Drosophila melanogaster: one gene and its partner. The protein of the gene in region 1 binds, or shares a complex with, the protein of each later gene. Each region holds a gene or a part of one and is shown on either strand. Other genes may lie near its edges. The genes, in order: inaD and norpA.

Region 1 (5,690 bases):
ACGAGAACAAGTCAACAACGGATTCGCCTGCACACACACACACACACACACACACACAGACACGTGTGGCCACTTACATAAGGACGAGTGGGTGTATGTGTGTGAGTGTGTTTGCCTGTGTGACAGCCAACAGTGGAAAATCACTTCAGTTAACTAAATCCCCGCAACAACCATGCGCCGACTGCGCCGCAGCAGCACGACTTCTGCAGGAGCGGACAGAGAGAGAGAGAGAGAGAAGGAGAGAGAGAAACAGAGAGCGGAACAGCCGAAAAGGACACGGCACAAAGCAGCCATTGCAGGGGCGTGGCCTGCGGCCAGAGAGCCAATCGGAGGGCGAGGTCTTGCGAACAGCGACGTCGGCAGCGGCAGAGGCTGCAAGGGACGAGGAGAGAGCGGGGCGGGGCTGGGGGAAGAGGTGGAAAAGGGGGCGGCAGCGTTAAGCTCATTGCCATATTTTCGCTGTGCTCTCTTTTGAATTTACTTTACTAACAAAACATGACTGTTGGGAGGCAAAAAGGAAATTGTTTTATCAAATGGGTTTCCTTACGCTTTTTTATTATGAAATTAATTTCCAGCATCGTTTCGCAGTCGTTGACGTTCCACTCCCATCGCTCTCACTCCCACTCTCCGTTGGGTTCGCCATTTTCCAGTTTAAACCCCATTTTGCGCCCAGCTCCTTTGAGCATGTGTTTACTCTAGTTTTCCTTTGGAGCTGCCTTAGCCATTCCACTTTCGTTTCATTCCGTTCGGGCAATGTTCGGGAAATGTTTGCATAGTCATATTCTCCCTTCCCTGCCTCCAGTTTCCTTTTTTCATACCGCCTTTCCCCCCGACAAAGGCATTAAAATGCAAATCTTGATTATGAATTTAAGCTCGGCAGACAAATTAAATTTATTTGCCACTCGAAAGATAAAAATCTTGAAAGTTTTATTTGATTACCGCTTGTGTCTGGTTCAGAAGTTCCCCAGCAATCCTTACCAATTCGCATTGAAATTGTTGCCTACTTTTTGGGGCTATATTATTGATACTGAATATATACAGTTCATATTCAATATCATATCATTGTCACCTTACATTTTATATTTATTTACTCTTTATTCTTCGGTATTTTGTGCGCATTTTATTATTGTTTTTTTATTAAGGATATTATATGTTTTAAAAATGTCCCCCACAAATTGTTGTTATTTGCAGTGCCGATATAGAAGCTCTCGCCCAGGTAAAAGTGTGTGAGACATATGTTATTCAGTTGTAAGTGCAATGAAAGAAAAATATAAAATCGATGGGCATTGCTGGTCAACACTTGGTGGGCTTCTCCTGGCGGAGTGTTGAGTTCAGCACGGGCCAAATCGTACCAACAAATTAATAACTTGATAGGGCCAATAAAGGTACATGGGTATCCATTTTCCCCTAGCCTTCACATCCGCGATGGTAACCCATATAATGGCCGTCTTCGGGGAGCTGGGTGTTTTGTGAGTGGTGTCATAACAGACAGTGAAAGTTACTCAATTCATTGGAGGCACCTCCTCCGAATCGATAGCACTGTACTGCAAGGTAATATTTTAATGGGTAATCTCAAGATACGAAACATTTTCATTATTATTAGTAGAATTTTTCTTTTACTCAAGCATTCTTTAGAAGGAAAGTTTGTGAAAGTGTCTTAGCATATATGTATGAACTACATGCATCTGGTACTCTAAGATCAACCCTGCTGACCAGTGTAATCGATACGAAAATCATACTCAAAATAGAATGGCCACTAAGTCAGTTAGCAAGAATGTTCGCCCGCTAATTGTAAAATCAGTTTAGGCGCACTTTTCAATGGACTCAAATCGGGCGCAGCCAACGCGGAATATTCACAAATAATAATTAAGTGAAAACCCATAACAATAAATATTCGATATTACATTTGAGCTTAATTCGGTGCGCTTAATGTCCGGTCAGTGAGTCGCGAGTTTTTGGCTAGGATTACGGAGCAGTCGATCTCAAGCAGCGAGGATGGTTCAGTTCCTGGGCAAACAGGGCACCGCGGGTGGTCAGTGTCCATTGAGTGGTTTCATGACCAACTGCTAATCAAATTTGCAGCTAGTCCCGAAAGAACTTGACCTTCCAAAGGTCACTCAATACTCGTTTTGTGTTTTATGAATCAAATAAAACAAAATTTGAACAAAAGCCAATTCAATTGACTTTATTGATTCTTAAGAATCCTGTGAGAAATATGTTTATGTAATGAACTTAACCTTAACATTTATATAAACGATTATACAATATTGGTGAAAATTATTTTGCGAAAGGATACCAAGTGGGATAAGGACCCCAATAAATATTTATTAGTAATAGCTTCACATTTGTCTTAGTCGTACTTTAACAATACGTTGTAAATAGTTTTTATTTCATTTGGAATGCACAATCCTTTCCCAGAGCTCATTCACATGGTGACCCTGGACAAGACGGGCAAGAAGTCCTTCGGCATCTGCATAGTGCGCGGCGAGGTGAAGGATTCGCCCAACACCAAGACCACCGGCATCTTCATCAAGGGCATTGTGCCCGACAGTCCCGCGCATCTGTGTGGTCGCCTAAAGGTTGGCGATCGGATCCTCTCGCTCAACGGAAAGGATGTGCGCAACTCCACCGAACAGGCGGTCATCGATCTCATCAAGGAGGCGGACTTCAAGATCGAACTGGAGATTCAGACCTTCGACAAGAGCGATGAGCAGCAGGCCAAGTCAGATCCGCGGAGCAATGGCTACATGCAGGCCAAGAACAAGTTCAACCAGGAGCAGACCACCAACAACAATGCGTCCGGAGGTCAGGGAATGGGGCAAGGTCAGGGTCAGGGTCAGGGAATGGCTGGCATGAACCGGCAGCAATCGATGCAGAAGCGGAATACCACATTCACGGCCTCGATGCGTCAGAAGCATAGTAACTACGCCGACGAGGATGACGAGGACACCCGGGACATGACCGGTCGCATTCGCACGGAGGCGGGTTATGAGGTGGGTTAACCCAAGGTCGCCACCCATCGCTCTACTAACTTATAAGTACCTTAGATCGATCGAGCATCCGCCGGTAATTGCAAACTCAACAAGCAGGAAAAGGATCGCGACAAGGAGCAGGAAGATGAATTTGGCTACACGATGGGTAAGACTCAATTGAAGCCATTAAAAAATGTCAGTCACACAGCACGTGAATGCCATTCCCAGCTAAGATCAACAAGCGGTACAACATGATGAAGGATCTGCGCAGGATCGAGGTCCAGAGGGACGCCAGCAAGCCACTGGGACTCGCACTCGCTGGCCACAAGGACCGCCAGAAGATGGCCTGCTTTGTTGCCGGTGTGGATCCCAACGGAGCATTGGGTAGCGTGGACATCAAACCGGGCGACGAGATCGTCGAGGTCAACGGCAATGTGCTGAAGAATCGCTGCCACTTGAACGCTTCCGCCGTGTTCAAGAACGTGGATGGGGATAAGCTCGTGATGATCACCTCGCGACGCAAGCCCAACGATGAGGGCATGTGCGTCAAGCCCATCAAGAAGTTCCCCACCGCGTCTGATGAGGTCCGTACTTTTCACTTCTTTTCGGATGGATCCTGCGATAAAATGTCCTTCCCTTCTATTCCAGACTAAGTTTATCTTCGACCAGTTTCCCAAGGCGCGCACGGTGCAGGTGCGCAAGGAGGGTTTCCTGGGCATCATGGTCATCTATGGCAAGCACGCTGAGGTGGGAAGTGGCATTTTCATCTCGGATCTGAGAGAGGGATCGAATGCCGAGTTGGCGGGCGTGAAAGTGGGCGACATGCTGCTGGCCGTTAATCAGGATGTAACACTGGAATCCAACTACGATGATGTGAGTCGTCAGGAAGCCCTCCAACCACTTAGTTTAAAACCATTTCATATCCACTTCAGGCTACTGGACTGCTTAAACGTGCCGAGGGCGTAGTGACCATGATTCTATTGACTCTCAAGAGCGAGGAGGCGATAAAGGCTGAGAAGGCGGCGGAAGAGAAAAAGAAGGAGGGTAGGTATTGCGTCCAAGCAAGTTCAAAACTGACATCTTCATCCCGATAACTCACAGAGGCCAAGAAAGAGGAGGAAAAGCCACAGGAACCCGCCACAGCCGAGATCAAGCCGAACAAAAAGATACTCATTGAGTTGAAGGTGGAAAAGAAGCCAATGGGCGTCATCGTCTGCGGCGGCAAGAACAACCATGTCACGGTGGGCTATCTGAACTTTCTGTTTCTGCAAGAAGTACCTTAAACAACTTTTCCCTGACAGACTGGCTGTGTAATCACCCACGTTTATCCGGAGGGACAAGTGGCAGCCGACAAGCGCCTCAAGATCTTTGACCACATTTGCGATATAAATGGTACGCCAATCCACGTGGGATCCATGACGACACTGAAGGTCCATCAGTTATTCCACACCACATACGAGAAAGCGGTCACCCTAACGGTCTTCCGCGCTGATCCTCCGGAGCTGGAAAAGTTTAACGTTGACCTTATGAAAAAAGCAGGCAAGGAGCTGGGCCTGTCGCTTTCTCCCAACGAAATTGGATGTACCATCGCGGACTTGGTGAGTGCACATACACCACTGGTATACAGTGGTAGGAAGGCTCAACCCTAAGTAACTACTTTCTCGACAGATTCAAGGACAATACCCGGAGATAGACAGCAAACTGCAGCGCGGCGATATTATCACCAAATTCAATGGCGATGCCTTGGAGGGTCTTCCGTTCCAGGTGTGCTACGCCTTGTTCAAGGGAGCCAACGGCAAGGTATCGATGGAAGTGACACGACCCAAGCCCACTCTACGTACGGAGGCACCCAAGGCCTAGAGACGATCCTCATTCTCCTCCTCCGGTAGCGAAGCAGTGCAGCAATTCAATAAAAGAACCAACAATTCGAATTCAAAACAATCTGTTTTCCGTTGTGGGTTTATTGAAAAGGAAACTCCTTAGGCTATAGAGCTTGCATTGGATGCAATACGGGGCCACAGATCGGCGCATTCCTTGGCCACCGGTCCAGTGATGGCCGAGCCCTTCATTTCGCCCTTGTTGTTTACTATTACCCCGGCATTGTCCTCAAAGTATATAAACACCCCGTCCCTCCTCCTGAACGGTTTGCGCTGCCGAATAACCACGGCAGGCATGACCTGGAAACAAATGAAAATAGTAGTTAGCAAAGTTGCTCGGCAGTGTGCAAACCTCCTGCTGCATCGGTTAGTTATGCAAAAGTGCGTTGTTATAGGTGGGGGAATTATGAGAAGTGCAGTGAAACCGTTTTATAAACCTTCTTCACTACAATTTTAAATTCTTATCAATAAACAAAAATATTAAAAACGTGAGTTTGGTGCGATAAGCTATCTTAGCCGGCACAAAACATGTGGGGAAAATTTATTGGAAGCGTAAGGAGAAACCTTCCACGTCTAATACAAATCTATCTATATTATCGTATTACTTTACAATGAAATACTCTGCAATTGATAGAAATTAAAACTGCCCGTTCAAAACAAATGACAAATAGTGTAGCACAAAATACGATTATTAACCTTAAGCAACCCAATGTAATAAGAGCTAACTAATTTCAAATTGGCTTCTTTGAAACAGAAACAAGTTGAATTTCATTCAAGAAAACGCACACAAACAAAGTGGAAAAACGTGTTCACTGGGCGGGTTGCTAGCCCATGGGCACTT
Region 2 (4,908 bases), on another chromosome or scaffold:
TCAGTTTATTTTGCAATAGCAAACAGTTGCATCCTTTTTCTCTCAGTGTCCTGATCATAGTTCGTGTTGGCTTGTGTGTTTAACTTACGTAGATATGTATTTAATTAATTGGCTTCGGCTTTTGTTGTTCCTGCTTTTGCTACCTATTTTTGTTTGTTATTCTTGTTTATTTATATTTGTTTGTTTTTTCCCGCCTTGCGAATTTCAGTTTGAAGAGCATTGCAAGATTTACAGTTTGATCAGTCGGCTGTCGCACTCTCTCGCTCTCTCCACGTTTCCTTAAGTTTACTCACAACAGGTAACACTGTATTTGGTTGCACTTGTTTTTTTTATTTTTTGTATTTCAGCTCACAGCCACTGCAAAAAATATGCGATTGCTGTGAAAATGTACACACATAAAAAAAAGAAAAAGAAATAGAACAGGTAATAATAATACAATGGGTAAACATGCGGCAAACAAAACCGAAACTGACACCAAAACGAAACACGTTGCCGTTTCGCTCTCTCTCCGTGCCGTGTTCCCTTGTTTATCGCGGATTATATTATGCGAGCGGACTAACGGGAAAAGCTCCGGCGGACGACCACTGACCAACTGAGAACGGAGAGCCAGCAACGGAGAACTTTTATCTCAAGTACAGTGGGGCCTTTTTGTGCAGACGGATAAGTGCTGATTTAAATAATTAATCTGCATATGAATATATTGAACAAACTAAACTGCTCTATAAATGCTATGAAACTAAACAGTACACATTGATGACTATCCACTTTTATGGCCAGCTATATACGTGCGACGAATGACTACTGTACCGGCGCTCTCTGCTGCTCTTGCCCGCTCTTTCTGCGTGGGTGATGATCGTGCGAGAGAGCAAGTGCAAATATGATTATTGTTCCTTCGCCTGCCGTTCTCCTCTCCATTTCTTCCGCCCCATCATGCAGCCACACACCAATACCTATGGTGCGTTTGTGTGGGTGCGATGAGTGTGCGACGGCGTTCGCTTTAACGGTTTGTTTGTTATTTTATTATTATAGCTTTATTGCACAATCCCAGGCCACCCACCGCCCACTGGCACGCCCCCTTTCGCTCGGTTGCAGTTCAAACAAACAAAAGGAAATGAGGGAGAAGCATAATAAAGCTTCTGATCGCCACACTTGCCACAAAAAGTAAGCTACGTAGAACTACAGTAGAGCTTGAATAATGCACATTTGCAGCTTGGGCGAGAGATGGAAAATATGAGTATTTGCTAATTAACACCTACAAAATTAAAAAGAAAAAAAATGATAAAGCTAAATGGGAATTGGATGATTTAAAGTATTTGCGGCTCAATTTTTTTAAATTTGTTTTGTTTATCGGTCGTAAATCATTATTTTTTTTATTTTGAAATAACAGTGTCGAATAACTCAGTGATTTTACACTAAAGTTTAAATATTTTAAACTCTTAAATTTTTCGAGTAAAATATTGTATTGTTAACAGAAAAGTGAGCGTTTATAAAAAAATATCAATCTTACAAGCGATTCATGAATATGTTGTACCATGTCTTTTGTTTCTTTCAGTGCACAGTGGCTGCGTGGACGTCGACAGAGGGCAAAACAAGTGGCCGTCGTTAGTGCGAGCGAGACGCGGCGACCAAGTGCGGATGGGTGCGAGCGAGAGGGCTGGCGGACTGGCAAATTGTTGTTTGCTCTGCCGACGTCGTTTTTTGCGTGTGTAAATTTGAATACTTCAATTTTATGTGTGCTTTTCCCTCCCCACCACATATCCACACCATCCTAACAACAACAACCAGCACCTTGTGTTCGTGTTTGCGTCGGCGTGCGCGCAAGTAAATTTCTTCTAATTTAATATTTTGTTTATATTATTTATTCATATACTTATGTATTTGCGTAGCCCCTCCCACAACTAACCCTCCTTCGAGCACTTGTTTGTTTATGTATTTCACCTGCTCCTGCTCCGCTCCAGCCCACGTTTCGACCATTTCTTGCCCCTCGTCACGGCCAAGTTTACGTTTTTGGTAAATCATTTACAATTTGGATTTCCGATCGCTTTTCGAAAACCCCCTCTCGAAATATCAACAATCAAGCACTTTGCCAGATGCACAGAAAGAAACTGATGTGATTTCAATGGCTTACTAGCTGTTCGATATTTGATTAAGTTGATGTCTCTAAAGAAGGAAAACGTTTTCCACAACTTTTCTTCTTAAACTCGGAAAGCGATCTGCATGCAATCGAAAACTTTTACTGCAGTCTTTCATTCGTACAAATGCGCTACGAAAATAATTTAACAACTTACACATGGATCACATTACCACTTTTATCAATGAGTAATTGTAAATATTTGTTGAAAGCTATTTGAATTTTTGCCGTTAGTTTTTAGTGATTTATGTACTTAGGAACACACTGAATTCCAATGTGCAATTCCGGCAAATTGGCTACTAAGCGGGCTTTAAAAACTAATTTCGCTTCTGCAACCCTCAAAACAGAGAACTTTTGAATATGCAAATGCAAATCAACAAAAAACAAAAAAACGTATTTTTCGCAATCTGCCTCCTACCTTAGATTCTCCGCAGCTCCTCTCCACCTCCTTTTCACGCTCTTGTCTCTCTTTTGAAGCTTCCTTCGCGTTCGCGTTTGTTTGACTTTGATTCCGTTTGGTTGGTTTGTTTGTTGTTGCCACTCTTTGGCTGTTTCTGTTTTTATGTTGTTATCTCTTTCTTGTCAGCTTCTCTGCACTTTCAAAAAACAAACACTGTAAAAAAAAAATGAGTCTTGTTTACCACGCGCGAGTATGGGAAATTCTCGGGAAACCAACTCGTAAAAAAAATATTTAAAAGGGAAAACAAGAGCAGGGCAAGGCGAAAAGGAGTTACAGAAAGCGCGTGTGGCTGTGATTTATTTTATTATACGGTTTCGCCCACAAAGGACTTCACTGAGCTTTTAGTGCGTCTATGTTTTTCGTTCTATTTTTCCAAGGCTTCAGTTTTTTTACACGGAATTTTGACCGTTTTGTTTTTCGTTTGTTTTTATTTGTTGTCTGTTGTTGTTGGTTTCCGCAGCACAAATGAAAATTCGCGTCCGTTTCGCACGAGTGTTAGTGATGTAAAAAAGCATCGAATGCATTGACCACCGATGTTTCTCGACGATACATTTCAGTGCTTGCGCTTGGTATCGATTGGCTTCTGTTAACCTCAGTGGCACAGCTTGCAGTCTCTAGCACGGACTCAAACCTGTATGTTAACTTTTTAATATTTAATTGGCAGGGACTTCAACCAAAGATACATATGTGAATGACTTCTACTAACCACATTGCATCTGAGAGCTTTTTAGCAATTTCGAAAGGAAGGCTTTAAAACAGAGAGACATAAATGCATCAAATATAAATATAGTAATATTAAATATATACTCATCATACGTGGACACCGATTGTTTTTCAAAATATCCGGGTGAAAAGCTTGAGCCCTCGGGTGGTAATCGATAGGCGCAGTCAGCTGTTCTTCGTTCCTATCGTCTTGCTTGCACAATAATTTCAGCGGCATATTTCCATAATTCACTGCATTTTCCCCATTTACCGAATCAAAATGCGTCTAACTAACGTTTTGTTCAAAAAGGTGAAGAGCAAGTGAGTAATTTGGACATCCAATTTGTTCTTTTTGTTAAAACCAACCGTTTTTACAGGCGCATCATGGTCGTACTGGAAAGTGTGGTCAGTGGACATCAGTTTAATGCTTTTCGCGATCGCTTGGCCGACAAATTGGAGATAATACGCTTCGATCCGTACAGTGAGTGCCGGCCATCACTGACTTTATGCATATGCACTGATGTTGCCCATGTTTCTTTTTCAGTTCAACAGGAAAGCCTTTATCGTGAACGCAAGAAAATCCGCAGCGCCTAAGATAACCATTTTTTGTTAGTGAAAAAAATAAAATTTACAACTATTGGAAACACCAAAAAACAACCGAGATATATGTGCGAATGTGGGTGCTTTATTTTCGGCAGAATAGGAGCATTATAAATCTGGTTACATATTTATACAAAAATATTAATTTACGCTCGTTTTAGATACACATTCGCATCGATACTTAATTCTAATTATCAACAGCAACTCGCTTTCGATTGCCGTCTACTTAAACGGCTTCTCGGTCATAAGAAGACCATGCTCCCACAGGGCGGTGGCGACCTCTATCTTGCGAGCTGAAGACTCCAATGGCAACTGATCAATGGTGAGGTAAAATGGATAGGCCGATATGAGGAGCTCAACGGCTTTAGCTTCCTCTGGCAGAATCTCCATGAAATAGGGCTCGTACTTGCAGTAATCCAGGCCATTGTCCACATGGTGGTAGATACGCACGCTGCCATCGGACTCGGTCACCAGACGCAGAATGTTGGCACGCAGCAGGCGCACGGATGTCTTTTTATTGAATTTGTAATCGCAGACGCAGTTGCCCTGCTCATCGGCATCACTGCGTGCCCCATGAACAGTGCGCACCTCCTCCGAGGGCAATACGATCGGCGGAAGTGCCTCGTGCTGGAACTTCTTGGCCATCTGGTCGACGGCCTCATCAATATCATCTTCGGAGGGCATCAAGTAATTGGTCACCAGCTTCTGCACATTCTCCACCAGCTGTTTGCGCGACCCGCAGTCATTTCCCTTGTAGGCATTGCCCAAAACTTGAAAAGTGTGCAGCGGCAAGCCGCGACGCAAGGCCACACTCCGATCGACGGCCTTCTTAAGAACCATGGGCATTAGTGTCTCTAGAAGATTGGCATATGCCTGCTGTTGGTAAACACTCAAGGTAATGTGCAGCGAGTGCTGTTGCTCTTCGGTGATGGCCTGGTGAACAGCGCCTCTCGGGAAATATAGTACATCGCCGGCGCTTAGTACCTCATCAATTATGGGCTTACCCAGCTGCTCT

Evidence for each region.
Region 2: the proteins of inaD (region 1) and norpA are in contact, whole or in part, in a crystal structure (PDB 6IRE), measured with the Drosophila melanogaster proteins. Residues at the interface, in NP_726260.1 of Drosophila melanogaster: Pro498, Gly500, Tyr521, Glu523, Lys555, His557, Gln558, His561, Thr562, Thr563, Glu594, Leu595, Gly596, Leu597, Ser598, Leu599, Ser600, Pro601, Ala609, Asp610, Ile612, Gln615, Phe642, Gln643, Val644, Cys645, Tyr646, Phe649, Lys650; in NP_001162661.1 of Drosophila melanogaster: Arg904, Gln908, Gln911, Asn912, Ile915, Asn929, Lys934, Ile937, Asn938, Gln940, Thr941, Arg952, Asp1070, Lys1073, Leu1074, Asp1076, Met1077, Ile1080, Glu1081, Glu1083, Ala1084, Thr1087, Gln1088, Lys1090, Thr1091, Glu1092, Phe1093, Tyr1094, Ala1095.

What each region holds. Positions count from the first base shown.
Region 1 is NT_033778.4:22,854,904-22,860,593, reverse strand, and holds inaD (inactivation no afterpotential D), read left to right. Parts: upstream 1-1,799; 5' UTR 1,800-1,995; coding exon 1,996-2,032; intron 2,033-2,382; coding exon 2,383-2,993; intron 2,994-3,047; coding exon 3,048-3,138; intron 3,139-3,200; coding exon 3,201-3,556; intron 3,557-3,620; coding exon 3,621-3,845; intron 3,846-3,904; coding exon 3,905-4,016; intron 4,017-4,073; coding exon 4,074-4,213; intron 4,214-4,273; coding exon 4,274-4,570; intron 4,571-4,640; coding exon 4,641-4,832; 3' UTR 4,833-4,906; downstream 4,907-5,690. Other genes in the region: RpL23 (ribosomal protein L23), read right to left, coding at 4,952-5,149. UniProt on the Drosophila melanogaster protein: Involved in the negative feedback regulation of the light-activated signaling cascade in photoreceptors through a calcium-mediated process.
Region 2 is NC_004354.4:4,320,797-4,325,704, reverse strand, and holds the start of norpA (no receptor potential A), read right to left. Parts: upstream 3,080-4,908; 5' UTR 2,550-3,079; intron 2,097-2,549; exon of another isoform or gene 1,904-2,096; intron 358-1,903; 5' UTR 89-357; intron 1-88. Other genes in the region: mRpL33 (mitochondrial ribosomal protein L33), read left to right, coding at 3,574-3,614, 3,671-3,774, 3,838-3,887; NO66 (nucleolar protein 66), read right to left, coding at 4,116-4,908. UniProt on the Drosophila melanogaster protein: The production of the second messenger molecules diacylglycerol (DAG) and inositol 1,4,5-trisphosphate (IP3) is mediated by activated phosphatidylinositol-specific phospholipase C enzymes. Essential component of the phototransduction pathway.